Saccharomyces cerevisiae S288C: one gene and its partners. Changing the gene in region 1 together with any one later gene gives a genetic interaction. Each region holds a gene or a part of one and is shown in the gene's direction. Other genes may lie near its edges.

Region 1 (7,341 bases):
TACATTGAAAGCGTGTCACAAAGAACACATCCATAATCATGGTCCATTGCAAACATTTCAAAGTAAAGAAGAGGATATTTGGGTCTTAGAATCTCATTGGAAACAATCCTCGTTTACTAGAGACGTTAATTCCACTTTCAAAAGCCCTGAAAGATTAACTTTCTGATTTTAGGTTTATTATTTTTTTGTTGTATGCCCTTGTTAAAAATTTAAATAACCCTTGTTTAGATAGGGTTTAGTTTTCCCTTTTGTTATGATAATAGTAGTTATAGTAGTAATAAGCTTGACGTGATGTACTTAGTCGTACCACCTAGTAATAGTGTTATTGTTAGCATTCCTGTCCAAAAAGACCAGAGTAGGAACTAGATATGTTGCGGCTTGCACGTTTTTATTCTTTGGCCAGAACCAAAGCCATACATAGTCACGGTGCACCCTTCAGGCCGGAATATGCATTGAAGTGTGGATTGGAGATTCATACGCAATTGAACACCAAAAACAAGCTTTTTTCACAATCAACGAATAGCGCCACATCTCTAGTGGATGCACCAAACCATCATACTAGTTATTATGACATAGCTCTACCGGGAACGCAGCCGGTTTTGAATCTGGAAGCAATCTTGTTTGCCATGAAACTATCCTTGGCACTGGGTTCTCAAGTGAATAGCATATCTCAGTTTGATAGGAAGCATTATTTTTATGGAGATCAACCTCAAGGCTATCAACTGACGCAGCACTACAGGCCGTTTGCTCGGGGTGGGAAGATCAATCTGTCGAAGGAATTGGATGATATCGATGAATCAGCCAAGGAAATCGGTATCTTACAGTTGCAGATAGAGCAGGACACGGGGAAGTCACACTATACAGAGACAGATAAAGACGTTATTACTTTGGTTGATTTAAATAGGTCGAACGTCCCGCTTATCGAATTGGTAACTAAACCAGATTTCAGTGATATTAAACAGGTTAGAGCGTTTATTAAAAAATATCAGAATTTGGTACGTCATTTGCACATTTCCTCTGGGGACCTGGAAACGGGCGCCATGCGAGTGGACGTTAACCTCTCAATTAATGAATATGCACGCGTTGAGTTGAAGAATTTACCCAATACTAGTTCCATCATCAATGCAATCAAGTACGAATATCAGCGGCAAGTTGAGTTGATTTCTGTGGGTGACACTAGCTCACTGATGGAGCCAGAAACAAGGGGCTGGACAGGCTCATCAACGGTGAAGTTGAGAAGCAAAGAAACCACGATCGATTACAGGTACATGCCTGATCCAGAATTGCCGTATATCAACCTCGCACCAGACGTTATCAGTGGTGTGAGAGGGTTGATGCCCCAATTACCGGACGATATAATGAGAATTCTTATGAAGAAACCCTATCAATTATCATTGAAGGACGCCAAGATTCTGACTTATAATAGTAACCAAAACGATATGTACAATCATGAGGCGTTGAGATCGTACTACTTAGACACCTTCCGTGAATTTTCCAAGCTTGCTGGTGAACGTAGTAACGCGAAATTACCTACGAATTGGATAATCCATGAATTCTTGGGAGATTTGAACAAGCTACAAATTCCATTGGCCAAAGCAAAAGAAATTTTGCCTCCTCCGGTTTTCGCCCAGTTTTTGAAGTTATTGCATGAAGAGGTTATATCCGCAACTAGTGGTAAAATGTTACTGTTTCACATATTGGAAAATTTCGAGCAGAGTAACTGCCAAGATTTGTCTATTCCAGATTTTTCAAAACTAATCGAGAAATTTGAATTGCATGCGATTAATCAGGTCGACCCTCAAGAATTGATGGATCTCTGTAATGATGTCATTGCACAGCACACAGATGACACTTTTATACGGAACCTGGTTACTGGTAAAAAGAAGTCCTCTTTAAAATTCCTAATTGGACAAGGAATGAGACGAAGCCAGGGACGTATAAAGGCAAACGAATTCGAGAAAAAATTCAAAGAGATCTTAAATATTCAATGGTAAAATATAAACGCCGCGTGTAAATAGGAACCGTGCATAAATAATAACAATAATAGTAATACTAATGATAATAATATACATAAAAATATACGTAAACATCTCAACTCCAAACGCTCATGTCAGTATTCCAAATGCCAAAGGGTCTTGATGATGCTGGTTGAGAGGATGAAGATACGTTCATGTGGTTAGACCCCCATCCTAAAGAAGAATCATTCATCAAGAGTGATGCGGACGAAGACATGTTCACTGGTGCCGTCGAAAAATCCTCCCTTTGCGATGGGGATGGTGAATGTTGCGGTGGGTTTATGTTGGTGCCAATAGAGCTAGATGTGGTGGAGGACATGAGCAGGGTTTGGCTTGCTGGTAGGAAAGATACAGTTGGTGGAGAATGTAGATCCGAGATAAGCGAACTGGACGTGGGGCCCACGGGTAAATCATTGATTAAATCGGCGGATGTCGATGTTGCAGTGGTTGGGTTGGTGTGCATAGAGTTGTTTGATGATGACGACGATAAATTTGTGGAAGCTGCCGAAGTTGACGGCAAAATGTATTCGAAGGTGCTTTGGTTGTATGGAGAGGATGAGTTAGAAGTGGAAGAAGTCAACGAGGGAGAGGAGTTCGAGTTGAAGTACCTCGTGGAGAACTGCGTCTGGTTGTAAAGATTGTTGTTGTTGTTGCTGTTGTTGTTGTTGTTGTTGTTGTTGTTGCTGTTGTTGTTGTTGTTGTGAGCATTGACGTTGCTATTGTAGTACAGTTGAGGGTACGTTTGCTTCAGATGTGCAGTAACCATTGGATTGGACGTATACTGGGGATATTGCTTGTATTTTTGCTGGTTCAAATTATTGTTAGCGCTAAATCTGTGGTGTTTCTTTTGGGTATTCATATATGGTACGTCATTAGCTCTGTTCTGGTTGTAAGCCCCGTACGGGGCCGATGGAATAGATCTGTTAATGGATTGTAGACCAGCTTGGTTATGTGGGTTTACACTGCTGTTATTGTTGTTGTTGTAATAGTAATAGCTACCAGTGTTGTTGTATTTCATGTGATTGTAATGGGGGTGGTAGTTCGACTGGTGGGAGGGCGCATTGTGAGACTGGAAGGAATTACTGGACTGATGAAGGAGCTTCAAACTGCGGTACTCCAACAAGTATTTATCCATGTCCTCGTTCTGCGACAAAAACGGAATGCTGATTATCTGGCCTGGCATATATACGATGTCTTAGTGAAATAGAGCCAAAAAAAAAAAAGAAAATTATTACAAAAAACCGAAACCCAAATGATAAATAATAATAGTAACAAATAATAATAATGGAAATCAAAAAAGTCGTATCAAATATTAAGCGAAGGATGGAAGGTACCTCTTGTTCTAGGTGCCACGATGCAGAAAAAAAGATCAGGAAAAACGAATGGGAAAAAGAGAAAAAGCTGGAAACGGGATTCTCTTTTTTCTATGCTGCTTTTGCTTTGCACTATTGGATAGTGTCTGTAGTATCTAAACTGATTGCCTATCTCTTCTGTGCTGGCATCTTATTCGATGTATATAGTTCTTAATATCTAGTGAAAAATTTTTGACAAATTTCTCGAGACCTGAATCTTCGACACGCAAGAAAAAATTGAAAAATTAACGTGGACCCTGGGAAGCGATGAGCTAGAGAAGGTAAATACAGGGTCGTACGACGCAGAAGCATCCCAAAATTGTTGCAACAAGTATGGAATGTCACATTAGAGATTTCCCAATCTTACATGACTCTTTATTGCTGTTTTGTAGATAGCCTTCCATGTAAAATGCATTTGCCGTCACATTCTGTGTGCGGTTGCTGGGTGCTGTAAACAAGCTAAAGAAATTTCGCTATCGAACTTAAAGAACAACGCAGTACACTAGTTGGGAGTGAAAACAGTATCATAGAGTGTGTATGGGAGAGAGAAAGAGTTAGATACTAGTAGTATGGAAGGTGAACAGTCTCCGCAAGGTGAAAAGTCTCTGCAAAGGAAGCAATTTGTCAGACCTCCGCTGGATCTGTGGCAGGATCTCAAGGACGGTGTGCGCTACGTGATCTTCGATTGTAGGGCCAATCTTATCGTTATGCCCCTTTTGATTTTGTTCGAAAGCATGCTGTGCAAGATTATCATTAAGAAGGTAGCTTACACAGAGATCGATTACAAGGCGTACATGGAGCAGATCGAGATGATTCAGCTCGATGGCATGCTGGACTACTCTCAGGTGAGTGGTGGAACGGGCCCGCTGGTGTATCCAGCAGGCCACGTCTTGATCTACAAGATGATGTACTGGCTAACAGAGGGAATGGACCACGTTGAGCGCGGGCAAGTGTTTTTCAGATACTTGTATCTCCTTACACTGGCGTTACAAATGGCGTGTTACTACCTTTTACATCTACCACCGTGGTGTGTGGTCTTGGCGTGCCTCTCTAAAAGATTGCACTCTATTTACGTGCTACGGTTATTCAATGATTGCTTCACTACTTTGTTTATGGTCGTCACGGTTTTGGGGGCTATCGTGGCCAGCAGGTGCCATCAGCGCCCCAAATTAAAGAAGTCCCTTGCGCTGGTGATCTCCGCAACATACAGTATGGCTGTGAGCATTAAGATGAATGCGCTGTTGTATTTCCCTGCAATGATGATTTCTCTATTCATCCTTAATGACGCGAACGTAATCCTTACTTTGTTGGATCTCGTTGCGATGATTGCATGGCAAGTCGCAGTTGCAGTGCCCTTCCTGCGCAGCTTTCCGCAACAGTACCTGCATTGCGCTTTTAATTTCGGCAGGAAGTTTATGTACCAATGGAGTATCAATTGGCAAATGATGGATGAAGAGGCTTTCAATGATAAGAGGTTCCACTTGGCCCTTTTAATCAGCCACCTGATAGCGCTCACCACACTGTTCGTCACAAGATACCCTCGCATCCTGCCCGATTTATGGTCTTCCCTGTGCCATCCGCTGAGGAAAAATGCAGTGCTCAATGCCAATCCCGCCAAGACTATTCCATTCGTTCTAATCGCATCCAACTTCATCGGCGTCCTATTTTCAAGGTCCCTCCACTACCAGTTTCTATCCTGGTATCACTGGACTTTGCCTATACTGATCTTTTGGTCGGGAATGCCCTTCTTCGTTGGTCCCATTTGGTACGTCTTGCACGAGTGGTGCTGGAATTCCTATCCACCAAACTCACAAGCAAGCACGCTATTGTTGGCATTGAATACTGTTCTGTTGCTTCTATTGGCCTTGACGCAGCTATCTGGTTCGGTCGCCCTCGCCAAAAGCCATCTTCGTACCACCAGCTCTATGGAAAAAAAGCTCAACTGAAACAGATGTATAAATATCATATAATCGTATTGTTTTAAATCATTTCTTTATACCATCTATATAGTACTACTAGTATTTAATGGTGCCGTTATTACCCGCGCTTGATTTTCCTTTTTTTTTTTGATCAAAAGGATGGAACAGGCTGAAAGTAAACCAAAAGGATCAAAGTGCAAGCAAAGGTGCCACAGAAAAGTTTATCAAAAAACCATACCTAGCTGTGAGAGTTTTAGACTCTGTTTTGGTGACTGCATATCTATTCATAAATCGACACGAACTTTTCGTGCAGGATACATAATAAAAATAGCATGGCGGTAAATCCTGAGTTAGCACCGTTCACCCTCTCGAGAGGAATCCCCAGCTTTGATGATCAAGCTTTGAGCACCATCATACAGCTTCAGGACTGCATTCAGCAGGCTATTCAGCAGTTGAACTACAGTACCGCAGAGTTTTTGGCCGAACTGCTCTATGCTGAATGCTCCATTCTCGATAAATCAAGTGTTTACTGGTCCGATGCGGTATATTTATATGCACTTTCGCTGTTTCTGAATAAAAGCTACCACACTGCGTTCCAGATATCCAAAGAATTCAAGGAGTATCATCTTGGTATCGCTTACATATTCGGGCGTTGTGCTTTACAGCTTTCGCAGGGAGTTAACGAAGCTATCCTCACTCTTCTCTCAATAATAAATGTATTTTCTTCGAACAGCAGTAATACGCGCATAAATATGGTGTTGAATTCTAATCTCGTCCATATTCCCGATTTGGCCACTTTGAATTGCCTGTTAGGCAATCTTTATATGAAACTGGACCATTCTAAGGAGGGAGCATTTTATCATTCTGAAGCATTAGCCATTAATCCTTACCTTTGGGAATCTTACGAAGCGATTTGTAAAATGAGAGCTACCGTGGATCTCAAGAGGGTTTTTTTCGACATTGCAGGGAAAAAAAGTAATAGTCATAATAATAATGCAGCTTCATCGTTTCCGTCTACATCACTATCGCATTTCGAACCTCGTTCACAACCTAGCTTATATTCAAAAACAAACAAAAACGGCAATAATAATATCAATAATAATGTTAATACACTGTTTCAGTCGTCTAATTCTCCCCCTTCTACATCGGCATCTTCTTTTTCTTCCATTCAGCATTTCTCAAGGTCACAGCAGCAACAAGCGAACACATCAATAAGGACCTGCCAGAACAAAAATACTCAAACTCCTAAAAACCCTGCAATCAACAGTAAGACGTCTTCTGCGCTACCAAATAACATTTCCATGAACTTAGTGTCTCCATCCTCCAAACAGCCTACAATAAGCTCGTTGGCCAAAGTTTATAACAGAAACAAACTTTTAACGACTCCTCCATCGAAACTGTTAAATAACGATAGGAACCACCAAAATAACAATAATAATAATAATAATAATAATAATAATAATAATAATAATAATAATAATAATAATAATAATAACATTATAAATAAAACAACTTTCAAAACTCCAAGAAACCTATATTCCTCAACAGGAAGGTTAACAACTTCCAAGAAAAATCCAAGGTCTTTAATAATCAGTAACTCAATACTAACGAGTGATTATTCAATTACGCTGCCTGAAATCATGTATAATTTCGCTTTAATATTAAGGTCGTCATCACAATACAATTCGTTCAAGGCAATAAGACTGTTCGAGTCTCAAATCCCATCTCATATTAAAGACACAATGCCATGGTGTCTAGTGCAATTAGGAAAACTTCATTTTGAGATCATTAATTATGATATGTCCTTAAAGTATTTCAATAGATTGAAAGACCTACAACCGGCAAGGGTAAAAGATATGGAAATTTTTTCTACTTTGCTGTGGCATTTGCATGACAAGGTTAAATCTTCAAATTTGGCAAATGGGCTAATGGATACAATGCCTAATAAGCCCGAAACATGGTGTTGTATAGGTAATTTGCTATCATTGCAAAAGGATCATGATGCCGCAATAAAAGCCTTCGAAAAAGCTACTCAGTTAGACCCAAATTTTGCAT
Region 2 (7,730 bases), on another chromosome or scaffold:
CGAGACCCTCTAAGAATACGTATTTTTCTTCGTTATTTTTGGTAGGTAAATCGTCTAAAAAATTCAAGGTTTTGACTAACGGATCTTGGAAAAACTCAGAATCTAAAATCAACGTTATGTTATCATATCTGGAATAGATGTCTCTGTTTATTAGCTTGGGTATACAATGCCTCAACTTTTGTGGAACCTTACTGAATATATTATCCCATGACATTGTACTAATTTTGCTTTCAAACTTGTTGTACTCCAATTTATATTCACTAGTCGAATTTTCGCTGCGAAACAAGTCTTTACCAGTGTACAGAAAATATATCAACAATCCTAAAGAAAAATAATCGTTCTTAAAGGTTAGGGTATTCTCAAAAACAATTTCTGGGGCCGTATAATTCAATTGTAAATGCATAAATGGGGGAACTCTGGGATCATATTGAGGTAAGAAGTATTCAGAGGTATTTGTGCCTGGTGGTATTTTTACTAAATAGCCTAAGCCGGAAATTTTCCAATCAGAATTTTCATTGATAAATATTGCCCTAGGTTGAATGTTCAAGTGTACAAAGCTTGCGCGGTTATGAACAAAATCGAGTGCATTTACCAGTTGCAATATACCTCGCTGTACCACGATATTATCTTTAACATGACCTTGTAAGAAATTCTGCTCTTCATCATCGGTTTCTCTGAAAACGGTCTCCAATGAGCTAGTGACAAACTCGGTGACGAACATGAAATTCTTGCTATGTTCTTCTAATGGTTCAATTAAAGTCAGAATATTTGGGTGCTTGAGCTTGGCCAAGTTATTGGCCTGGTTTCTTAATATTTCGTACGCTTCTTGTATTAATACTTTATCTCTGGATCCAGATTTGGATTTAATAATACCATAGTGTAACAAATAGTTTTCGAACTGCTTCTTGTCAAACATGAATATCGATACTTTGGAAGGTGAAGATGAAGATGAAGATTTGGGACGACCGGTGTAAATGCTCCATGGTTCAGCTGTGAAAGTAGGTGATGATGAAAATGAATATTTTGACGTGATACCCGTCTTTGAGGACCAAAACATCATCCCTGCTCAATCAAAGTGTGTCCTATTTTCCTTAATGATACGATATTCGAAGTTACACTGTTTTGAATACTTTTGTGCGCTTTAATATGTGCAAGATTTATTTGTTTTGATATTAACTTCTTTTTGGCTTCTATTTTTTCAAGACTGCAGTACCCTTTTTTTCACGCAACTTCAGGTTCGAACCGAAGAATAGTTTAATTACGTTTAGTTTTCCTACTGAAACTTTTTTTTTAAAAGACCCTGAGAATTTCATCTCGAGAATAATGAAGACCAATATATAAGTAATGAATCATAAAAGTACAAGAGCAGGATCAAAGTTGAATGTCTCAACAACAGGACAAGAAAATGAGTGAAGAAGGAGCATATGTACGGGTGAGCATTTTTCTTGTATAAACATAAACTAGCTGAACATCAGCTCAATCGGACATAAAAATAAGTTTCCAATTAGACATGCACTTGAACTTGTAATTATTTATCGACCAAAAAGAGTAAGTTAATTTTCACATAATCTTGGAAAAGCCAGAAACAAGATTCGAGAGCTGGAGAATGGATGATGAATCAAGCAATGTTGAACAATCAAAATAATATAGGGTGTATAGGTGTTCACGTATTTCTCTTTATGTTTAGTGGGTGTGCCAAAAAGGACACTGAAAGGGTAAGAATAATAACTTAGCATATTGCTTTCGATATATAGATGTTAATCATACAAAGGCAAAAACAAAGCGTGAATCAGCATTTGTTAACAGACAATTGCAAGAAATGTCGCTGATCAGCATCCTGTCTCCCCTAATTACTTCCGAGGGCTTAGATTCAAGAATCAAACCTTCACCAAAAAAGGATGCCTCTACTACCACTAAGCCATCACTATGGAAAACTACTGAGTTCAAATTCTACTACATTGCATTTCTGGTCGTGGTTCCCTTGATGTTCTATGCTGGGTTACAAGCTAGTTCGCCCGAAAATCCAAACTATGCAAGATACGAACGTCTCCTATCTCAAGGTTGGTTATTTGGCAGAAAAGTAGACAATAGTGATTCTCAATATAGGTTTTTCAGGGACAATTTTGCGCTATTGTCAGTTTTAATGCTAGTCCACACTTCTATAAAACGCATTGTACTTTATTCAACAAATATCACTAAATTGAGGTTTGATCTGATATTTGGTTTGATCTTTTTAGTGGCCGCTCATGGTGTCAATTCGATAAGAATTTTAGCCCATATGCTAATTTTATATGCCATCGCCCATGTACTAAAGAACTTTAGAAGAATAGCCACCATCAGCATTTGGATTTATGGTATTTCTACGCTTTTTATTAACGACAACTTCAGAGCATATCCATTTGGTAATATTTGCTCTTTTTTAAGCCCATTGGACCATTGGTATAGAGGTATCATTCCAAGATGGGATGTCTTTTTCAATTTTACTCTTTTGAGAGTCTTAAGTTACAACTTGGACTTCTTAGAGAGGTGGGAGAATTTACAAAAGAAGAAAAGTCCATCCTATGAATCAAAAGAAGCTAAATCAGCCATTTTGCTCAATGAACGTGCTAGATTAACTGCTGCACACCCCATACAGGACTACAGCTTAATGAATTATATTGCATATGTTACTTACACGCCACTTTTCATTGCCGGCCCCATTATAACATTCAATGATTATGTTTACCAATCGAAACATACCTTGCCATCAATAAATTTCAAATTCATTTTTTACTATGCGGTGAGATTCGTTATTGCTCTCTTATCTATGGAGTTCATTTTACACTTTCTCCACGTTGTGGCAATCTCAAAAACCAAAGCGTGGGAAAATGACACACCTTTCCAGATTTCCATGATTGGCTTATTTAATTTGAATATTATTTGGCTAAAACTACTGATTCCGTGGAGGCTGTTTAGGCTGTGGGCTTTGCTAGACGGAATCGATACACCTGAAAATATGATCAGGTGTGTTGATAACAATTACAGTTCACTAGCATTCTGGAGAGCTTGGCATAGAAGCTACAATAAGTGGGTTGTCCGTTACATATATATTCCTCTAGGTGGTTCAAAAAATAGAGTTTTGACATCACTAGCAGTCTTTTCCTTCGTAGCTATATGGCATGACATCGAACTAAAGTTATTATTATGGGGTTGGCTAATAGTTTTGTTCCTCTTACCAGAAATTTTTGCTACCCAAATTTTCTCTCATTATACCGACGCAGTCTGGTACAGACACGTTTGCGCTGTCGGTGCTGTTTTCAACATATGGGTTATGATGATCGCTAATCTTTTTGGATTCTGCTTGGGCTCTGACGGTACTAAAAAATTACTAAGCGATATGTTCTGTACCGTATCTGGTTTCAAATTTGTAATTTTGGCAAGCGTTAGTTTATTCATCGCAGTACAAATAATGTTTGAAATCAGAGAAGAAGAAAAGAGGCACGGAATTTACCTAAAATGCTGAATGCCAAATTTACGAATATCAATTGTATAACACTGCTATCATGTATGTATTTTTATCTACTAGTACAAAAATGAAACCGAAAATAAATAAAAAAATATCGAGAGGAAGCGTGAAAAGCTAATGAACATATAATATGAAAATCTGCAGTATGATGGATAAAAATCCTCTCGAAAACTCAAATACGTTTTTTATATTCACCAGGCGTTTCAAATTTATTCTGGATCCACAGTCCCTTTTTTCTAGATCTTGCCAAAAATTCATAATATCGATACTTATCTTCTCTATCATCAAATTCTGTGTTTACTTTACCCTCATAAACAACCGCTAATCCATCCTTGAGCATTTCTAAGCTTAAGTCTTTCCACCCACCAAACCAGTCCCAGTATGACACTCGAGCTACACAACGGTTGTACTGATCTATAGATAAAGGCTTGACCCATACTTTCTTTCCCAAAATTCGGTTTTGTAACCAAATTAAAGCTTCATTACCAAACGGTTGAGCTGGGTTACCGAAATGTGCTCTTTCTGGGGCATCGATTCCACATAATCTTATAGGAATAGTTGGCAGGTTTTTCCTATTTTTGTAAGGTACATTTAGCTTCAAGAACTGGCTTTTAGCTTTTTGTATTTTACTTTTGGTGGACCTCCCATGCGTAATCCAATTGAAATTGAAAAACCTCATATTTCTGCTATCTCCAACAAGCTTTTCTGCCGTAGAATCATTCTTGATCATTTGTGGGACGGGTCGTAACCATCCCCATCCACCTCTTATACCACCTGGCATGTGAAAGAAATGAAAGTTGTCCCCGTCACCTACAGACGTGACTTTACCATAAAGCCAGTGTTTACGAAATATTCTTCGCGGTATATCATTTGTTCTTTTGAATTGAGTTAAATACCTTTTATATGTGTAGATCAATGTTAAGGTCGAACCCGTAAGGATGATGGAGAGGACAGCAACATCCGCAGATTTTTTTGAATTAGAATCACCTTCCCTCATATAAGTGCATTTATGCCCCCTTAATAGCTATGAAAAACTGGGCTTCTTTTTATATCATGTGTGACTTATTCTGTAATTTGTTTTTATTCTTCAACACAATTTTTTTTTTTTTGCATACCAAAGGAATCATAAAAGGTCAATGATGAAGAAAGATAAAAGAATTTTGTGACCAACAATTATGTCAGCGGATAGGAGTTTATCATATTATAAAACCGATTACTATTATCTATTAGAAATGTATATACACTTATTTGGCTTGTCGCTGTTCCCACAGACGCAATGTTATTGTTGCCAAAAAGCACGGAAGTTGACCTCTATCTTCCACCCATAGATTCATGAGATCATCCCATCCTTCTATATCTGCATCAAGGTTAGATTTCAAAGTGTTTTCATTTAGATCAGCAATCAAATATTTTTCAGGTTTGAAACAGGAAAATATTTTCACACGACTATCTTGTTGAAATTCCAATTTAAAACCTAATAATGAGTTTACAACGTCAATAAACTCCAAAGATTTATTATTGAAAACTTGCTTTAGTCTGGAAAATCTTTTATTTGACTTAAAAACTTCCTGTTCGAACTGTTTCAACTCGAAATTTAGTGAATCATAAACAGAAATGGGTACTGTTTCCACTGCTGGATTATTCTTTTTCAATTCGTTAAGTAAATCTGCATTTTCCTTTTCTAGAAGAAGTAATTTGTTTTTCTTGATAAATTGATCTTTTATGAAGGGGCCGTCACGTAATTGCAGTATACGTATTTTTTTCTCCTTTAGTTTAGTTAACTTTTCTAATTTTTCTTGTAGTAGCTGAATTGTAGTTTGTGCTTTACTCAACTCCCTCGAGACACTTACATTTTCCAGTTGCAATTCGTTGAGCCTCTGTGAATAATTTAAACCAATTTGGTCACTTGTCAACTTCCTCTTTTTTCTTTGTGTTTCTACATCATTGGAATTTGATAATAACTGATCGTTTAGCTTCTTTAGTTCGTTTGTTAAATCTTCTGTCTTATTTTTATAAGTATCGATCAAATTATTCATATCTTCGTTTACGTTCTTGTTTGACGCATGTGTTTCACTATTTTCGACCTCTAGTAAAGCATTATTTTGTGCGGAATATAGGCCATCTAATTGTTCGCGCAGTAATCGACATTCTTCGAAAGATAAACTCTTCTGTTGTTCTAACTCGTGATTTAATCTTTTCAAATTTACTATGTTGTTTTCATAATTCTTGTTCAAATCTAGTATTTGGTTTCTCTCTAAAGCCATTTCATCATTCAGTAGCTTTAAATTGTTATTGTCCAATCTTAACTTATCATTCATATCTGTCAAAATTAAACATTCCTTTTTGGTAAGTTTCCAGTCCCGGATAATCTCTTCAGGGTTATTTCTTATGTTATTTTTGGTTCTGTTGTTATTATTAATATTGTTGTTATTACTTGTATCATTATTATTATCATTATTATTATCATTTTTATTATTATTATTATTATCATTGTTGTTAACATTGTTATCATCATCATCGTCACTATCATTATAAATTTCCCATTTGGTTAATTTCGATTTTAGATCTATGTTTTCCAATTGAAGATTTTCATATTGACTTTCGAGTACGTGTAATTGACTTAATTTGTTTTGTAGTTTTTCATTTTCTAATTTCCAAAAAGTAGAAGTGTCCTGGGATTGTTTAAGTTTTTTCAATTCATTGGCTTGTTGCATGTTCGCTAGTTCCAATTCTTTAGTATACTGAACTTGGTCTTGGATCATTTTGTTCATTTCAGTGAGCTCGTTGAACTCTTCGGTGGAGTAGTTTGGATGTGAGTTTATCATCTTAGATGCTTTTACCGAAGATAATTCATCATCCTTTTCCATCACTTGATGCTGCAAATCTTTGATATCCACACTTTGCCTCTTTATTTCTTTCTCATATTTCATCAGTAGCGAATGAGAGCTCTCTGCTTCCAACTTGAAATGGTCACATTGGTTAGTGACCTTTGATAACTTCGAATCATACTGCTGCCTTAAAGTCTCCATTTCTAAATCTTTGTTTTGGAGGGTTGTTCGCAATTCCTCTATGCATTTGTCTTTATCATTCATCGAATTAGCTGATCTTTCTTTCAAACTCTTTAACTCTTGCTCCAATTTATCATTGCTTTCATAAAGATATTTTGTATCATTCAATGCTTTCTCTAATTCGTCAATCGTGGCCTTATATTTCTTTTCTAAGATATTCGTCTGTTTTTGTAGCTGCAATTTTTCAATCTCATACTCATTTTGTAGAGTATTGAGCTTGAATTGTAACGCCTGAATCTGACGATTACTTTGTCCATTTGTACTGCCTACGTCGGGCGAACCTCCAGGGCTTTCCAAGAAAGGAGAGGACCCACCACTATTGCTCATTTTGTACTGGATAGAATAGATCTCTAGTCCCAATTTTTTTCCAGTGAATCGTCCACTCAATGCACTGAAGAAACATTGCAATGCCGCTCTCACATCCATTATTTACTATTACCTCTCGATTTTAAGATGGAAAAAATTGTTAGGAATTATTCCTAGGGTAACACGCTATCAATTTTCATTGCTCCTTTAGCGATAAATAAGAGACTAAAATAAGATCAACTTCCTACACAATCTCTGCTCATTACATTTCGATGTCGTGGTGAAATTCTTATTCTGTATATGCAACGTAGAAGAAAGCAGCGTTTACACAAAAATGTCAAAAGTGTATGTTATTATAAGTTTTGAAAGGGATTTCAACATATACTAACAAATTCTTGAAATGTACCCTCACTGTCCTATTGTAAATCAGACCAAGAAATTTTAGGTTGTTAGAAGAATTAGAAAAGGGTGAAAAAGGGTTTGGTCCAGAATCATGTAGTTATGGTTTAGCTGATAGCGACGATATTACCATGACCAAATGGAACGGCACTATTTTAGGGCCCCCTCATAGTAATCATGAAAACAGAATCTATTCCCTTTCTATAGATTGTGGCCCAAACTATCCAGATTCTCCCCCAAAGGTCACTTTCATTTCCAAGATAAATCTACCATGCGTCAATCCAACTACGGGGGAGGTCCAAACTGACTTCCACACCTTACGTGACTGGAAAAGAGCCTACACCATGGAAACTTTATTACTTGATCTTAGAAAGGAAATGGCAACCCCAGCGAACAAGAAATTGCGTCAACCGAAGGAAGGAGAAACCTTTTAGTTATCTACTTTTTCCTAA
Region 3 (10,636 bases), on another chromosome or scaffold:
AAGTGCCTTGCTGAAGATAGTGTAGGTGATTTCAAAAAAGTATTGTCCTTGCAAATTGGCACCCAACCAAACAAAATTGTGTTGCAGAAGGGTGGAAGTGTTTTAAAAGACCATATCTCTCTGGAAGATTATGAGGTACATGATCAGACAAATTTGGAGCTGTATTACCTGTAGAAAATGCGCTGTTTTTTTTTTTTTGATCTAAATACACAATACATACATTTGCAACCGAGAGAGATAGAATATGTAGAAATAATAAGATGGCGTTGTCTCTATAATGCTTTTCTATTGTTTAGTAAGCTACAAGAAGTAATCAACATGTCTGTTAGAAGCAGATCTGGCTTGGTATACATCTGAAAATATGTACATTTCAGGGTCCGTGGAGCCATCTGCGGAGGCAGAGTCGTCTTCGAAATAATCTGCAATCAATTTCCTGTTGGCTACCGGATTAGATATGCTATCTTCTAAGGCATTGTCGTTCATACTGTTCTCTTTCAACAGTTTATTTTCAGGTGCCTCTTCGAAAACGTTGAAGTAGAATTGATCTTTACTATACAGCTCCAGAATAGATGCTTTATTGCCGCACCGATAACAATAGTTTGGCGCCGACCATACAGTAGTAACCAATCCATCAAAATATATCTGGTAACCTTCGTTACATAACTGATGGGCTCTGTATATTCTGTTCATATCGTTCATACGTAAGAATTTCTCCACCACGCTTCTTCCGAAAGTATAACCTGCTCCACGAGGTGACACCTGGAAATGTTGTCCAGAGTTATCTGGATGATCTAACGTGGGGTTATTGTTTTCTTCCGGATCAGACCAAACCAAGTCTGCCATGGCGCCATCGTGTGGAATTTCTCGAAATCTATCAATAATCTTGATCTGATCTATGGTTTGAACATTGGGCGAGAGCCCACCATGAACACAAAAAATTTCGTCGTCGATAATACAGCATAACACTAGATAGTCAAATATATCTGTCAAATATTGCCAAACTCTTGAATTGCCACCGTACTTGTTCAAGCACTCCGTGTAGAAACCATAGCTCTGCGTGATTTGACGTGACTCGTGGTTTCCCCTCAAAAGATGAATTCTACTAGGATATCGAAGCTTAAGCACAATCAATAGCATAATTGTTTCCACACTGTACAACCCCCTGTCTACATAGTCGCCCAAGAACAGATAATTCGTATCAGGAACAGGGCCGCCTATTTGGAAGATCTCCAGCATATCGTGAAACTGTCCATGCATATCCCCCACGACTGTGACAGGGGTCTGAATGTGAATCACGTTTGACTCCTTCACTAGCATTTCCTTCAGCTTAAAGCAGAGTGCCCTTACAGTCACTTCAGGTAGTAACTGGGCCTTGTATAGCCTTTCTAAACATTCGTCCAATTCCATCTCTACTGGGCCAATTCTCTAACCAAAAATAAAAGTACACAGTGGGGATACAACTGCAATGAGTGGAACTTAATAAACAGTCACGAACTGTTCCAAATTACCTACAACTCGCTGAAAATACCGCGTTTCATACCCTGAAACAGTGGGTATTTTAGCAGTTTTGCATTATTAATTACTGCTCCATCACCCGGGAAACTCGCGCCACTTTTCGGGCGTTTCTTTGTATGGAAAGAATTGATTAATCTGAAAAGAGTGATAAAGGTGGGTAAACAGAGATAGAAAGAAGCCAAATCTGCAGATTAGAAGAGGTTAGAAGATTGTAATTGTTGCTGCCCCAGTGTGTTATTGCCTTAGAGAGTAGTACTGTTAAAGAACAGCTAAGAACGGGTGTTTTCAAAACGAATTACTGGTTTACAAAGAATTCAAAGGAAAAAAAAAGGTTCCAGCATATTTGTTAACTTTTGTGTGAGCTCCGTCTGTCCTTCAAGTTACTATTGGGCAGTTTCAAGTACAAACAGTCTGCCATTACTAAAAAGAAGAGAAGCCTTTGCGTAAACTATTTGACAGGCACAAATAATGTCGCATTCAGACTACTTCAATTATAAGCCTTACGGCGATTCCACGGAAAAGCCCAGCAGCTCCAAGATGAGGCAGTCATCTTCATCATCTTCATCTAGACTAAGGTCGGAAAGTTTAGGGCGAAATTCCAATACTACGCAGGCTCGAGTAGCGTCATCGCCCATCAGCCCAGGGCTGCATTCTACCCAGTACTTTAGATCACCAAACGCTGTTTACAGCCCTGGAGAGTCTCCATTAAATACAGTACAGCTATTCAATCGTCTTCCGGGTATACCTCAAGGTCAGTTTTTTCATCAAAATGCCATTTCTGGGTCCTCCAGCTCCTCGGCAAGATCTAGTAGACGGCCCTCGAATATTGGTCTTCCTCTACCAAAAAATCCTCAGCAGTCTCTACCGAAGTTGTCTACTCAACCTGTTCCTGTACATAAGAAAGTTGAGGCTAGTAAAACAGAGAGCGAGATTATTAAGAAGCCCGCTCCCGTGAATAGTAATCAAGATCCATTATTGACGACCCCAACGTTAGTGATATCACCAGAACTGGCTTCACTAAATACAACGAATACATCGATTATGTCAACGCCACAAAATATTACAAACCAAACTTCGAACAAACACATTCCCACCAGATCGCAACCAAATGGGTCAACAAGTTCCTCCACTTTGCAGGATATTGTCACGACAAATAGCTCGCAACGGTCTGTAGGCCACCATGGTGGAAGCACAACGAGCCTCCGAACATACAAAAAACAATATGTATTAAATGAACAGTTATATTTAAGAAAAATGAGAAACCGTGCTAATGATGATTATTACACTAGAGGTATAGTCGCATCATCCAACTTTGAAGATGACGAAGAAAATTTTAGTAACAAAGGTGAAGATGACTTAGAACTAGAAATGGATGATCTTTTAAAGGTAGAAGGTGAGGATAAAGATAACGACTTCAATTTTGGTTATAATTTTATTACGTCGAGCACAAAAAATAATGAAAATGTTGTTTCGATGAGCCTAAATTATCTAAAGGGCAAATTGGATTGGTTGAGGGATGTGAACAATGATCAACCGTGTGAAATAGAAGATGAGGAGTGGCATTCCATACTGGGGAGCGAGGATTTGCTGTCAAAATTGTTACAAAATCCTATGGTGAACAACCGATTTGAATGGCAAACAATGTTATCTAAGGTACTGAAGGGAGATATTGTGAGGAATGAAAAAACGAAGATTGCAAATCAAGGGAAAGGCCCTGGCTTCAATACTCAGTTTTCAGATGACATTTGGATTGAGTTGAAGGCATGGATGAATGGGAGGACCGTGGAAGATCAGAACAAATCTCTGAGGATTTTTAGGGATTCTACTGACTCCGTATTTCAAGAAATCATGGCCTTTAAACTAGAAGATAATATGAGCGCTGACGAGGCTGCAGAGACTATCAAATCACTAGTAGACAAATATTATAGAGTCTTAAATCTATGGCCTAACATTAAAAGAATGCATGCTGAAAAACCCATTACTAAAACAGAAGCATTCAGGAATCGAATAGATACTTTGAATAGTTGGCTTAATTTCAAATTTAACTTTGATACTAATATTGCGTACCTGAAAAAATGGATAGTTGGCAATAAAGAGCTAGAAAGCACTACCGAAGTGGATAACACCACCGTGAATTTGGATGATCCAGCCGTTTTCGCCACTAATTGTAAACGCTTTGCGGAGCAAATTATGAAGGAAAAGGATATTGAACTGATATTTCAAAAAAAAATATTCTTTCCATTAGCACCATGGATTTTGAAGGCCAAATTTTTCTTCTTGAAATACCAAAAAACTTGGAATGAATTGAATCTATCTTATTTGGATCAAGATCTGGAATTTTTATTGATGTTTCCAATGCGTTTGGTAAAAGATATAATACTAATTCGCCTATCTTACGCGAAGAAAATACAGAATCCAACCTTGATGATGATCGATCAAATGATGGACGATTTTAGTACATATATTAAGTTGGCAGTCCAAATGAAATTCACTGTTGCTTCTTACTGTAATGACTGGTTTTTTAAAGTGAAAATCGATCCCGAATTTGATCATACCGTTGTTGAAGGATTGGAATATTTTTTCTCCATTTTGGAACTGAGAATATTATATAGTGGCAAAAACTCATTCAAGACTTCTAAAGAACCTGATCTGTTATTAAAATATTGGGAAATGTTTAGAAACGTCGGCTATTATATTGATGATGCAGGCGAACTGATCGCAGCAGAATTTACGAAGTTGACACTTAGATTGGTTCACAGATTGCACGCTTACCTTTTAAGGCAGCAAAACACTCCGCCAAAATTAGAGAATGAAGCTGCTGCTGAAAAATGGCTGGTGCAAATATTCGAAATACTTGGATCCATGAAAAGAAAACTCAATAGATTCACCAATATTTTGACAAAAGCATTTCAAAATTTTGTCCGCTACAAGATAGAAGATCACAACTATCTGCTAAAGCAACTAAAAGAAACAGGCCACTTTCTTATATACACAGGAGGTTACCTAGAGCAAAATGGTACTTATTTAATTGGTAGCCCAGAGCTATTAGGCTGTAAAGATGATGATATTTTAAGAATCATTAAGAATTCAGACATCGGTTGTGATTTAGTGCCTAAGCTAGAAATTAATAACAGTCTGACAATTTATAATGCTTTGGATGATAATTGGAACTCCAACTCATCACTGGGTTCAGATATCTCGAATGATGGTACCCCATTTTATTATATCAAAAACGATTTGACCACCCAGCCTAGATCTTATAACGGTAATAGAGTCAATCGTGAACCGGATTTTGAAAACAGCAGGAGCACGGAGGAAGAGTTTTATGAACTGGAGACAAGATTGAACTCTCTTGGTTATGTATTGGTATTGACTCCGCAAGAGCCATTACTTTGGGAGGGTGAGATGTATAATCTATCCGATAACAAAACAATTAAACCAGAGGGATTGAACTTGAAAGTAATTCCTAATTCAATAGATTTGATGTGCCAAGGATCCAGTTATGCCTTAGAATACCAATGTGACAGGTTCCAACAGATATCTGGTAGCTCAGTTTCTTTCTTGGAAAAAAAATCTTCCTCAGAAACGGTTAAAAACAACTTACAAAGGATAAATAAAGCATATTTCAGATGCACGTACAGTGTTCTGAAGAACTATACAAAGATTGTGACCACGTTCAAGAAGGTAAGTCCTGTCAATGATTTATTGAATAATATTTTCCTTTTTGGGAGGGATTTTGGTCTGAACTTTTTGAGAATTAATGTTGCCAACAATGAAAAAAGATCCATTATAATACTTTTAATGATGCGGTTAAGTATCGGATGGCTGAAGTTCTTAGCTGAAGACTGTGATCCGACTGATCAAAGGGTATTTAGGTGGTGTGTCACGTCAATGGAGTTCGCGATGCATATGGTAAGCGGTTGGAACATACTAGCTCTTGATGAATGCCAATTTTCTTCTTTAAAACAAAAAATTTCAGAATGCATGTCATTACTTATTTCTCATTTTGATATAATAGGCGCACGCTCCATAGAAGTTGAGAAAATCAATCAACAAGCTAGATCAAATCTTGATTTGGAAGATGTGTTTGACGATGATATGATGCTACAAGTGAATTCCGAGTTCCGAGTACAAAGTATAATGGAATTGGAAGAAAGGATAAAGCGGAATCCTCATCAAACTGGTAAAGTAATTGATGATAGTGACAAAGGTAACAAGTACCTTGTTTCTTTGGCATCTTCCATATCGAACGTTTCTATGAGATGGCAAAAGAGGAACTTTATTGGTGGCGGTACTTTTGGAAGGGTATATTCTGCTGTTGATTTGGATAATGGTGAGATTTTAGCAGTCAAGGAAATCAATATTCAAGATAGCAAATCAATGCAAAAAATATTCCCCTTAATCAAGGAGGAAATGAGTGTCTTAGAGATATTGAACCATCCAAATATAGTTTCATATTACGGTGTTGAAGTTCATCGTGATAAAGTTAACATCTTTATGGAATATTGTGAAGGCGGTTCCCTAGCAGCTCTTTTGGAGCATGGTCGTATTGAAGATGAAATGGTCACTCAAGTCTACACTTTACAATTGCTAGAAGGACTTGCATATTTGCATGAATCCGGCATTGTTCACCGTGATGTTAAACCCGAAAACATCCTACTAGATTTTAATGGTGTTATTAAGTATGTTGATTTTGGTGCTGCTAAAAAAATTGCTAATAATGGAACTAGATTGGCAAGTATGAACAAAATCGAAAACGCAGATGGTGAACACGAAGATGTTACCCATGTTTCTGATTCAAAGGCAGTGAAAAATAACGAAAATGCTCTATTAGACATGATGGGAACTCCTATGTACATGGCTCCAGAATCCATCACTGGATCTACCACCAAAGGCAAACTTGGGGCAGACGATGTTTGGTCGTTAGGCTGCGTGGTATTAGAAATGATCACTGGTAGACGGCCATGGGCTAACTTAGATAATGAATGGGCTATCATGTACCATGTTGCTGCAGGACATACCCCACAATTCCCTACTAAGGATGAAGTGTCGTCTGCTGGTATGAAATTTCTGGAAAGATGTCTTATTCAAAACCCCTCCAAGAGAGCCAGTGCGGTTGAGCTGTTGATGGATCCTTGGATTGTACAAATTAGAGAAATAGCCTTTGGCGACGATTCTTCCTCTACAGATACTGAGGAAAGAGAGTAGTTAAGTTGAGAAGGTTTGTTGTATTATATGTAAAATCAAAATATAATGTAGTGGGGGGAGAGTATATAATGTTAATTCAAGGATAGAAGATTAATGATAGCATTTTTTTATAATTGTTTTGATTTTGAGAACAGAAATTTATAAAGGTAAGATATAAAAGTGAAAATTTGAAGTCTAGTCGAGGTGGATTAATGTAAAACGCTCGCTATATATTTTATTGGAATTGACGTTAGCTATTATCAATCAGTTTTTTCATCTTGTTTGATTCTCTTATAGGTGAAGAAGACATCGCTTTTAACAATCGAATTGGCCGTCAATTCTTTCAAAAAAACGGTAGGGGTCTTGTCGAAAATGATCTGTTTGAGTAGAGACAAAACATTCACTCTCTCTTGGAAAACAAAGTTCTTAATGTAGGTTGGGTCAAATCCAGTAAACATCTTTGTTGTGTTAACTAGCTCCCAATGGTTGGTAGTCTTATTCTCGAATGGCAATTGAGAGGCGGTTGGCTCGTGGGTGATCAAGAAATCAAAGGAGGGCCACATTTCCTGCAGTAAAGTCGTATTTTCAGTCTTATCGTAATTGATGCCGTACACACCGTAGTTCAATTCACCAAATAAAGTGACACCTGTCATGCAAGGAGGTATGCTGATATGAACTGTAGCGTTTGTAATATTTTTTTCCACAATCATGTCATTAAAAGAAGTTAAAGCCTCGCCGCCTGGATAATTCATTCTTGATATATACAAGAACGCCATTGAAATGAAAAAGGAGGTCATTATAGATAAGGGCAATATAGCCAAACATAAAACATTGGTAATCTTTTTTACTTTCATATTCTCCCATAGATGTGCTGCTCCTGTGGCACCTAGCAACATGATAGATGGAACAGCGTAGATGATGAATCTCCATTCTTTGTGAGGTTGAAAGGATAAGACGATAATGTGGAAAAGAGATGCTAGTGAGACAATTTTTAATTTTGCAGGTGCTAATTTATAGCCGAAGTAATTCAATAGTAAAACAGTTGGTGGCATAAACATCATTCTCAAGTAATGCGTGAAATAAGCAGTAACTGGCTCCACACCCCACTTGGAAGCGTAACCCGCAACCACGTTGAACAAGAAACCATCTACCTCAGGTAGACACCATTCTTGCCAGAAATATGAATCAACGGTGATACTGATGGCGGAACCAAGTCCCAAGCCAAAGATACCGAATTTGATAGCATCGAATAAAGAAATCTTCTTGAAGATGACGCTAAATAGAGCAATACCAGCACTGAGAGCTGACACTTCCAGTCTAAATACAATTGCCACGAGCGCAGATAGGAATATAGCTGCATTATAACGACCCAATAAAACCCACCCCAATGCGACGTTGGTTAGAGGCAGAGTCATGACAAAATTAGGCAGAGTCCTAGTGCTGTAGAACATGAGGTGGAAACTGCCAATTAAAAATAAAAGAAACCATGTACCAGCGCTATCGTAAATGTATATATCCTTGTCTTCATTTTCTTCCTTTTTCTTTTCAGTGATTTCATCAAACATATCTTGCAAACAATTCTTTAAATAGATAAAAGAAAGCCCATTGGTGAGGCCAACAATCCCCCTAACGACCAATTGAACATCTATAGACGTAGGCCTGGAAGTTTGGATCAAAGAACTCAAGTAAAGATAAGGTCTCGAAAGCATTGCAATAATCACAGCACCAACGAATGTTCTAGGGACTACTCCAGGAAATTTCAAGTGGTCATATTGGGAGATATCAAATACGCTGTAGGTTAAAATATCATGAATGGCTTGAATATTAAAACTCTCTTCCACCTTGGTGAATGGAGCTTGGATTAGATGAAAGGAAATCACGGTCAATAGCACTGTATCAAGGACAGACCAACGCATTGTCAACTGAATCGTTGTTTAATGGCTTTATTCAACTCTTTTAACAACACTAATCGTTAATGGTTTCACTTGCTATTAGTAAATTCCTTGCGTTATAAACTGTGAAGTGCCACGACATTTAATGCCGGCTGGTAAAAGGTTGTTCATTTTTAAGGGCCGAATTTTTCATTTTCATTTTCATTTTTTTTTTTTTTTCACTATTGGAATAACATGTATATTATAAATATTATATAATATTAAATGTTTAATGCGCTTGTAAAGCCAAGAACACCCTTTTCATTGAGGAATTTTCAACTTTTAAAGCGGAAGAATGTCTGCATTGAGAAACATCAAGTTCAATGAAGAAGAAGATGGTGAACTACCCTGCCTCGTAACAGGTGAAGAAAATAATCTACAAGAAATTTTGGAAAATGTCTCGTATGATGGTGGAAATATTGTTAGCGATGCAAAAGTTGAAAGGGTAAACAAGCAAGTGGAGAACACTTCTGCAGGCGCAACAGATGTGCACGAGAAAAAGCGTATTCCTGTGAGCATTATTACCGGCTATCTAGGATCAGGTAAATCGACGTTGCTGGAAAAAATTGCATTAAAAGGTGCAGATAAAAAAATTGCCGTAATTTTAAATGAATTTGGAGATTCTAGTGAAATCGAAAAGGCTATGACCATTAAAAATGGATCGAACAGCTACCAAGAATGGTTGGATTTGGGTAACGGGTGTCTGTGTTGTTCGTTGAAAAATATAGGTGTTAAAGCCATCGAAGATATGGTGGAGCGTTCACCTGGTAAAATCGATTATATCCTTTTAGAGACCTCCGGTATTGCAGATCCCGCCCCCATTGCGAAAATGTTCTGGCAGGACGAAGGATTGAATAGCAGCGTTTACATTGACGGGATCATCACGGTTTTGGATTGTGAGCATATACTAAAATGCTTAGATGATATTTCCATCGATGCCCATTGGCATGGTGACAAAGTTGGTTTGGAGGGGAATCTGACTATTGCACACTTCCAACTAGCCATGGCTGATCGAATTATAATGAACAAATACGATACTATCGAACATTCACCAGAAATGGTCAAACAATTAAAAGAAAGAGTACGGGAAATAAATTCTATCGCACCGATGTTCTTCACCAAGTATAGTGATACGCCGATTCAAAATTTACTAGATATTCATGCATACGACAGTGTACGGATATCTGACATCTTAGATAGTGGTAGCGGAAACGGTACCATTCATGATGATCGAATGGGCACAATAATGCTTACTTTCAGACCATTAAAAAACGAGGAAGAATATAATAATAAGTTTATTAAGCAATTTTTGCAACCTTTATTGTGGAAGAATTTTGGAGCCATGACAGTGCTGGGAGGGCGTCGCCGAGATGACGGCCGTGATTGGGAAGTACAAAGAACTAAAGGTCTGATACTTATTGAAGGAGAGAACCCCATTGCTCGTGTAATCCAAGGCGTCCGCGACACCTACGATGTCTTTCCAGGCAAATATGACGGATCCAATAAAGAGTGTAAAATTGTGCTGATTGGGAAGTACCTAGAAAAGGAATCCATAGAGGAACTGTTACGTAAAACCCTGGAATGATGGTTGGCATAATAAAGACGAGGTAAGTTATGTATATTTATACGTATGTATGTGATACAAAATGAATGAATATTAAGCGGATGGATCGAAACATTTTAATCCTCTCTAATAGAAACTATTTTAGACGATCTGTTGAATATTCTTTTCCTGTACTTGGCCAAAACGTAGAAAAGTAACAATACCGAAATACCAAGCATAATCTTTGGTAAAGGATGGTGAAGCTGATTATATTTTGCGTCTTCTAACTTTCTTTGACTACCCTGGTATAAATAATTCTTCAATGTAATACCTTTCTCCAAATCGCCGTTTTGGTAATCTTGAAGCCTTTGTAAATACTTTTCGTGAGCTTCCTTTGCATGCTGAATCCTGTGTTCCTGGGATGAAATGTAACCTATTGTTATTGGTTGCTCTGGTTTGC
Region 4 (6,444 bases), on another chromosome or scaffold:
GAATCAGAATTTAAGGTATCGTACAGGCCCTGCAATTCAAGAAGAATCAGATAATGAAATTGAAGATTTACTTATTCACAATTTCAATTCCAGATACTGTCATGAATGAAGAGCCGCCCCATCCATAGTTTTTCCTAGTTCAAGCATTAATATACCGGACCACTCTACATCTTCCGAAAGCCGGAAAATAAGAACAAAAAATAATAAAAAAAAGCACGTTTAATATAAAAAACATTTCATTGTATGAGTTGGATTCTTTTAATTTTATTTTAAAATACGGTTGCATTTTGCATAGTAATATCCAACCAATTATTTACTGAAATTTGAAATTTGATTAAAAAAGTCAAACCAAAAAAACTACGACAATACATGAAGCTCTGAATCTTCTAGCCTAGTCATTTTATATATATATATTCACCTCCTCTCGATACGTTCCATCATAAGTTAGTTTTGTTTTTCTCTTTCTCGCGATCCTAATTAAAAATTAAATAAAATAAATAAATACATATGTATATATATTCATATGTAGAAGATTATTGTTCTTATACATCAGTGTTTTGATTTATGGTAACCTATCCCAACCTTCTGGCTTATCTTTCTTCATAATGTCGAAGTAATGTCCGCCACATGAACCACTTCTAAACGTGAAATCGTTACCCTGGTCACAGTTACAATTATATTGGTTCCATATATCATCGTTTAGGGGACAGTTATTGTACTTGTCATAATGGAATCCTATATTTTCGAAAAAATGTATTTTATCCTTTGGCAACAGCATCGATAACCCAATTGTGTGGATGATGGAATCAGACCATTTCCAGTAGAAAATACCGCCCTCTTCGTCGATGTAATTAAAAAATTTCCTGTAAGCTGGCGATCTATAAAAGTTCAAATTACCAATTTCAAAATTTGATGTGAATTCACAGTTGTTAAAATCTTCAGAGTCCTTTTTTGTAATAAATGACTTGAAATTATTCTCGGAAATAAACTTTGGAAAATCCTTTGCAAATTTTTTCGTAACATCCCAAATCTTCTCATTGGCTTCCTTAGCTTCACTCATACTCAATGTGAAACCAAACACTTTGCCTTCATCTTGCATCCACCTAAAAAGGTCATGATCAATATCACAGTACAATTTAATACCAGGGTCTACTCTCCAGTACCAATCAAACTCATCCAGAACTGGATGCCTCCAAAAAAACCCTGCAAAATATCTAGCTTGATATCTTACAGCTCTAGAATCACCATCCGGTACATTTGCTAATGAAATTAGCGATTCTGCTGCTTTATTTTCATCAATCCATTCAGGGTATACCCATTCGTCTGCAGGAATTTCAGCAAATTTAATATTAATTAACTCAGGATCACCATTCATAGAATCAGTTATGGCTTGACGAATCATTTCTTGCTTCATTCCGTCAAGCTCCCCCTGACTAATAAAAACCCAAGGATAAGCAAAATTTTTGTTAAACTTCACCTGCACTTCATCAATAGATTGTAAGATTTGGGTCATGGAATCCCTTTCAGTAATTAGTGAGACAAAGCACGCCTTTGGTGGTGATCCTCTATGATTGATATACGATGGCACCATGAACCCTAGCGTCGTTTCATTACCACCATAAGATTTGATCTTTTCCTTAATGGCATTCACGGTGGCATTTCTAATGGCCTCTCCCTCTAAAGATTGCTTCAATTCGGCTTCTTCCTGTTCACTTTGTATACGCCTTTGTTCCTCTGCACTAATTTTTGCAATAGGTTGCAAAGATTTCGGAAGGTATGGTGTAACATACTGTTCAGACATCTGCTTTGTTTTTGGATGATTTATTGTCACCATTAGCGCAAGCACGAAAACAAACGAAATCAACAGAAAGCGTGCTATTTTTTTGCTCAGCAGTACGTGCATCTTACCTTATCTTATCTTCACTAAAGGGCACAAAAGGTTGGGTGAACGCTTAGTATCCCTCTAGTCTTGTATACTCGTACACATTATAAGTACATTTAACAAATCTCATCCACATTTCTCGAATAAATATCACATGTAACTTGAAGGTTATTTTTATATTTTTTTTTCCTGTGAAGGAACAACTCGTGTCTCACGAGAGCGCCACTTAAAAAACGAAAAGATAATCGGCGATGACTATATATGTATGTGATTGAGAATAAAAATATGGAAAGATAAAAGACCTAGTAACGTTGTATTTCAATAGTGAGGATAACATAAAGAAGTAAAAAGATCTTTGAAAATGTATGAAGTAATACAGAAAAGGAAAACAAAAATAATAAACGTTTTACAGAGTCCTGAACTCATGAGGCTCATAGAGGACCCATCAAATCTGGGTATTTCTTTACATTTTCCAGTAAGTTCACTGCTAAAAAGTAATAAGTGCACACCAATGCCTAAACTTTCTACGTATAGTTTGGCTAGTGGGGGATTTAAGGATTGGTGCGCGTGACATCCCTCTAGACGTTCCACCAGAGATTGATATCATCGATTTTTACTGGGATGTTATTTTATGCATGGAATCTCAATTCATATTAGATTACAATGTTCCGTCAAAAAATAAGGGGAACAATCAGAAGTCTGTTGCTAAGCTGTTGAAAAATAAGCTTGTAAACGATATGAAAACTACGTTAAAAAGACTAATTTATAATGAAAATACCAAGCAATATAAAAATAATAATAGCCACGATGGTTACAATTGGAGAAAACTAGGCTCGCAGTATTTCATACTGTATCTTCCCCTATTTACGCAGGAACTGATTTGGTGTAAACTTAATGAAAACTATTTCCATGTTGTATTACCATCTTTACTGAATAGTAGGAACGTTCATGATAACCACAGTACCTATATAAATAAAGATTGGTTACTTGCCCTTTTAGAGCTAACTTCCAACCTGAACCAAAACTTCAAATTCGAATACATGAAATTGAGATTGTATATTTTAAGAGATGATTTAATTAATAATGGTTTGGATCTTTTGAAAAATCTTAACTGGGTCGGTGGGAAACTGATTAAAAATGAAGATAGAGAAGTCTTGTTGAACTCGACCGATTTAGCTACGGATTCTATTTCTCATTTATTAGGTGATGAAAACTTTGTTATTTTAGAGTTTGAATGCTAAGCAGTTATATTCAGTTAGAAGCATATATCCCACCATTAAATAAGTTAACATACTACTGCATTTTTATTTTATGTTTAAGAGCAGATACGTCAATGTAGCTTGCATATGTACGTATCCTCCCCCACCTCCTATTTTCTACTTTGAACTTTATGGGAGTGTTAGTATAAGAAATATGTTTACACCTTTTTCAGACAAATGTAAACGGAAAATTAAAAAACGAATTCAGATCGATGTGTTAATCAAGTAGATGAAGGAGAATAAAGCATATAAAGCGCACCGCACACATGTTTCATTTAGTCAAGGGACTTTACAATAATTGGAATAAAAAGGAACAATATTCAATTCTAATATTAGGTCTAGACAATGCAGGCAAAACGACGTTCTTGGAGACATTGAAAAAGGAATACTCTCTGGCGTTCAAAGCCTTGGAAAAGATACAGCCTACGGTAGGACAAAATGTGGCGACAATACCCGTTGACAGTAAACAGATCTTGAAGTTTTGGGATGTAGGTGGTCAAGAATCACTGAGATCAATGTGGTCCGAATACTATTCCCTATGTCATGGTATAATTTTCATTGTGGATAGTTCAGATAGAGAACGATTAGACGAATGTTCCACGACCCTACAGTCAGTTGTAATGGATGAAGAAATTGAAGGTGTACCCATCTTGATGCTGGCCAATAAACAAGATAGACAAGATAGAATGGAAGTACAAGATATAAAAGAAGTATTTAATAAGATTGCGGAACATATAAGCGCTAGAGATAGTAGGGTTTTACCAATAAGCGCATTGACTGGAGAAGGTGTTAAAGACGCTATAGAATGGATGATTGTTAGACTAGAAAGGAATAAAAAGTCAAGACCACCGATTTATAAATGATAAAGAAGCACCAAAAGAAATAAAATGTGAATGGTTTATTCTCAAGCTCAGAAATTAGTTGTTGTAGCACTTTTTATTCGGCATTTTTTAATATACATGTGTAAATTATATATATATATATATGAATATATATCTTGTTTTGTTTATTTTCAACTAATAATCGCAACAATATTATCTTTCAATAACGCTATAGCTTCTGTATGCTTTTTGCTCAGTTGCTCAATGGTTCTCTTCCTCTATGTGATAAACCAAATAGTTTGGTAAGCCAAATACATCGTAGTTTAATCTCTTCGCCATCTTAGCAAAACCTTCTGTTTCAATCAAGTGATAAAATGGGAAATTAGGGAACATGGCACCGTCTCTGTGAACTTCTGCTTTGACCAAAGTACAGCCTCCACCAACACCATCCAGCGCCATCTCTTCACCTGGTACGCCATTAGCATCGTAGAAATGAGCCATTAATGGCCTATAAGTGGCAATTTCTGCATAACCCTCGACAATAATCTCGTCATCACCCATCTGAGAGGCTATTTCTAAACCGGTGTCACTTTCTTGCCAGTTGTTGAAATCGTATGGTCTGATTGATGGTTGCTTCTTCTCTTCATCGTAAAATCTTTGATAAATGTTTGCAGCTAAGATAGCTTTGTTGTGTTTGGTCATGTCTTGAATTAAAGATGGTGGTGTCTCTATAATATCGGCATCTAGCCACAGCACCCAAGAAGTGTGAGGTCCTATGGTGGAGAATAGTAATTCATTGCGCGCCAAAGCCATTGCTGCACGTCTTTCCTTTTGAACATCTAAAGCGTGTCTTTCCTTCTCCATCAACTTATCAAAACTCTGGGAATTCTGTCGCAAAATAGTAATTTTACTAAATCTTTGAGTTTTCTTGTCCGTTTGAACCTTTTTAATAGCATTCTCCAATTTCTTTAAGGCCAAGTCACCAGTGGCTGTTCTTGGTGTAATGAACCCCAATTCAATCAATTCCCGAGGGTAATTTAGCTGCAGCAAATTGTCCCAGTATTGTTGATGAAATGTTTGCATTGGAGTCAATATCAAAATATGCTCCTTATTGACAGCTGCTTCTGACGTAGAGTGCAATTTGTTCAAATCATAATGTGCAATATGACCTTCTGGGATAATATCTTCCACGTGATCGTTGAACAACCAGCCGCTTTTTTTCTTATAAGAGTACTTTGGCATTTTGTATTTCTTGGTGAAGGGAAAATAAAATGTGTTTTCCTTTTCGTGTGCCCATTTGTGTTGGGAAATGGACTGGCCATTAAGTCCCAACAGAGATTGATCTCTCTGGAAAAAAATTATATATATTAGAAATATGGCCAAAACAGGTAGAAAAATGTTAACCCACGGGTTCTTTCTTAGGCGGTACGATACAAGAGAAAGTGACATTGTTTCCTAACTTTTTATTCTAGCTCTTTTAAATTCTTCTGTTTGAAAAATACTAAAATTGATGCTATTCTCTTCTTACTTTCACAAAGTGCGGAAGGAAAAATAGGTTCAGAAATAACGGGTCCCAAGAGCGGCTAACAGAAAATAATAAAAGCTTTTCTACCAATTGAGAATCCGCTTGGTTGACGACTTTTCCTCCTTTATTATTCTTGATTTGGTGTTCTGTTTTACTTATATCAAAATACTTCAACGCCAAATCCGCTACAACGATGGAAAGGAAAAAAAAAAAAAAAAAAAAAAGACAAACCAATGCTGTCGTGTCTAGTGACGATAAAGGCTGTAACTATTAATAAGGTGAATACTCACCCTCATCTTTTAGTTTATCAAACTTATATAAAAATTGTGTATGTACTGAATTGTCCTTGGTGTGCGAGTGAGAGTGTGTGTGTGAGTGCGTGTGTGAGTAGGTGAGTGTATGCGAGTGTATGTAAGTTTATAAGTGCCTGTGTGGCTACTATTTTCCGGTTCTGTGATGTGATGATGATTTTTTTGTCAGCTCCTTTGATTCATTCCATACTTTATTACATATGCTCATAAACATTTTCTTGTCTACATTGCTAGAGCTCAGGGGGAACTCGAAGGCAAAAATATGCGATGAGAGTCGGATTTCGCCTTGAAGAAGACTAGGTGATTGCTGCTGCGGCTGCGAGGTCCGCTGGAACGTAGTAAAAGTGGGAGTGGGGACCGCTCCGTCCTCGATGGCCAAGTCCGTACCCTCTTCTTCGTCTTTATTGGGTTCTGCCTCATGCCATGAACTCCTGTCCCGGTTTGTGCTTGTGCTTGTACTTGTGCTTGTGCTTGCGCTTCTGGCTTTCGTGTTGGCCGAGAGTAATGCATCCCGTTCAAAGTGGTATTCTTCAGCAGGTATCATATCTGCTGGGCGTAGATCCGCGCGCTGTTGCGTAGGACCGGCATTCGCACTTGATCCTACGCTAGAATTTCTTGAGCCTTCCTCGGATCGTCTGGTTTTCCC

The links.
Region 2: mutations in ALG3 (region 1) and GUP1 together harm fitness more than expected from each alone (negative genetic interaction), as found in Saccharomyces cerevisiae (3 studies listed by BioGRID).
Region 3: mutations in ALG3 (region 1) and SSK2 together harm fitness more than expected from each alone (negative genetic interaction), as found in Saccharomyces cerevisiae (3 studies listed by BioGRID).
Region 4: mutations in ALG3 (region 1) and ARL3 together harm fitness more than expected from each alone (negative genetic interaction), as found in Saccharomyces cerevisiae (3 studies listed by BioGRID).

The regions. Positions count from the first base shown.
Region 1 is NC_001134.8:67,723-75,063, reverse strand, and holds ALG3 (dolichyl-P-Man:Man(5)GlcNAc(2)-PP-dolichol alpha-1,3-mannosyltransferase), read left to right. Parts: upstream 1-3,936; coding exon 3,937-5,313; downstream 5,314-7,341. Other genes in the region: glutamyl-tRNA(Gln) amidotransferase subunit PET112, read left to right, coding at 369-1,994; YBL081W (uncharacterized protein), read right to left, coding at 2,092-3,198; anaphase promoting complex subunit CDC27, read left to right, coding at 5,619-7,341.
Region 2 is NC_001139.9:346,388-354,117, reverse strand, and holds GUP1 (O-acyltransferase), read left to right. Parts: upstream 1-1,819; coding exon 1,820-3,502; downstream 3,503-7,730. Other genes in the region: SCY1 (Scy1p), read right to left, coding at 1-1,060; LCL3 (Lcl3p), read right to left, coding at 3,678-4,502; coiled-coil domain-containing protein MAD1, read right to left, coding at 4,750-6,999; E2 ubiquitin-conjugating protein MMS2, read left to right, coding at 7,214-7,224, 7,310-7,712. UniProt on the Saccharomyces cerevisiae protein: Membrane-bound O-acyltransferase involved in the remodeling of glycosylphosphatidylinositol (GPI) anchors. Acts only on GPI-anchored proteins, but not on free GPI lipids.
Region 3 is NC_001146.8:676,781-687,416, reverse strand, and holds SSK2 (mitogen-activated protein kinase kinase kinase SSK2), read left to right. Parts: upstream 1-1,983; coding exon 1,984-6,723; downstream 6,724-10,636. Other genes in the region: ubiquitin-like protein HUB1, read left to right, coding at 1-174; putative serine/threonine-protein kinase PPG1, read right to left, coding at 301-1,407; ALG12 (dolichyl-P-Man:Man(7)GlcNAc(2)-PP-dolichol alpha-1,6-mannosyltransferase), read right to left, coding at 6,963-8,618; ZNG1 (GTP-dependent zinc transferase), read left to right, coding at 8,929-10,218; peptidylprolyl isomerase family protein CPR8, read right to left, coding at 10,314-10,636. UniProt on the Saccharomyces cerevisiae protein: Kinase involved in a signal transduction pathway that is activated by changes in the osmolarity of the extracellular environment. Activates the PBS2 MAP kinase kinase by phosphorylation.
Region 4 is NC_001148.4:456,556-462,999, forward strand, and holds ARL3 (Arf family GTPase ARL3), read left to right. Parts: upstream 1-3,407; coding exon 3,408-4,004; downstream 4,005-6,444. Other genes in the region: LEE1 (Lee1p), read left to right, coding at 1-109; KTR6 (putative mannosyltransferase), read right to left, coding at 563-1,903; mannosyltransferase complex subunit MNN9, read right to left, coding at 4,224-5,411; DIG1 (Dig1p), read right to left, coding at 5,926-6,444. UniProt on the Saccharomyces cerevisiae protein: Involved in the targeting of ARL1 to the Golgi. Can bind and hydrolyze GTP.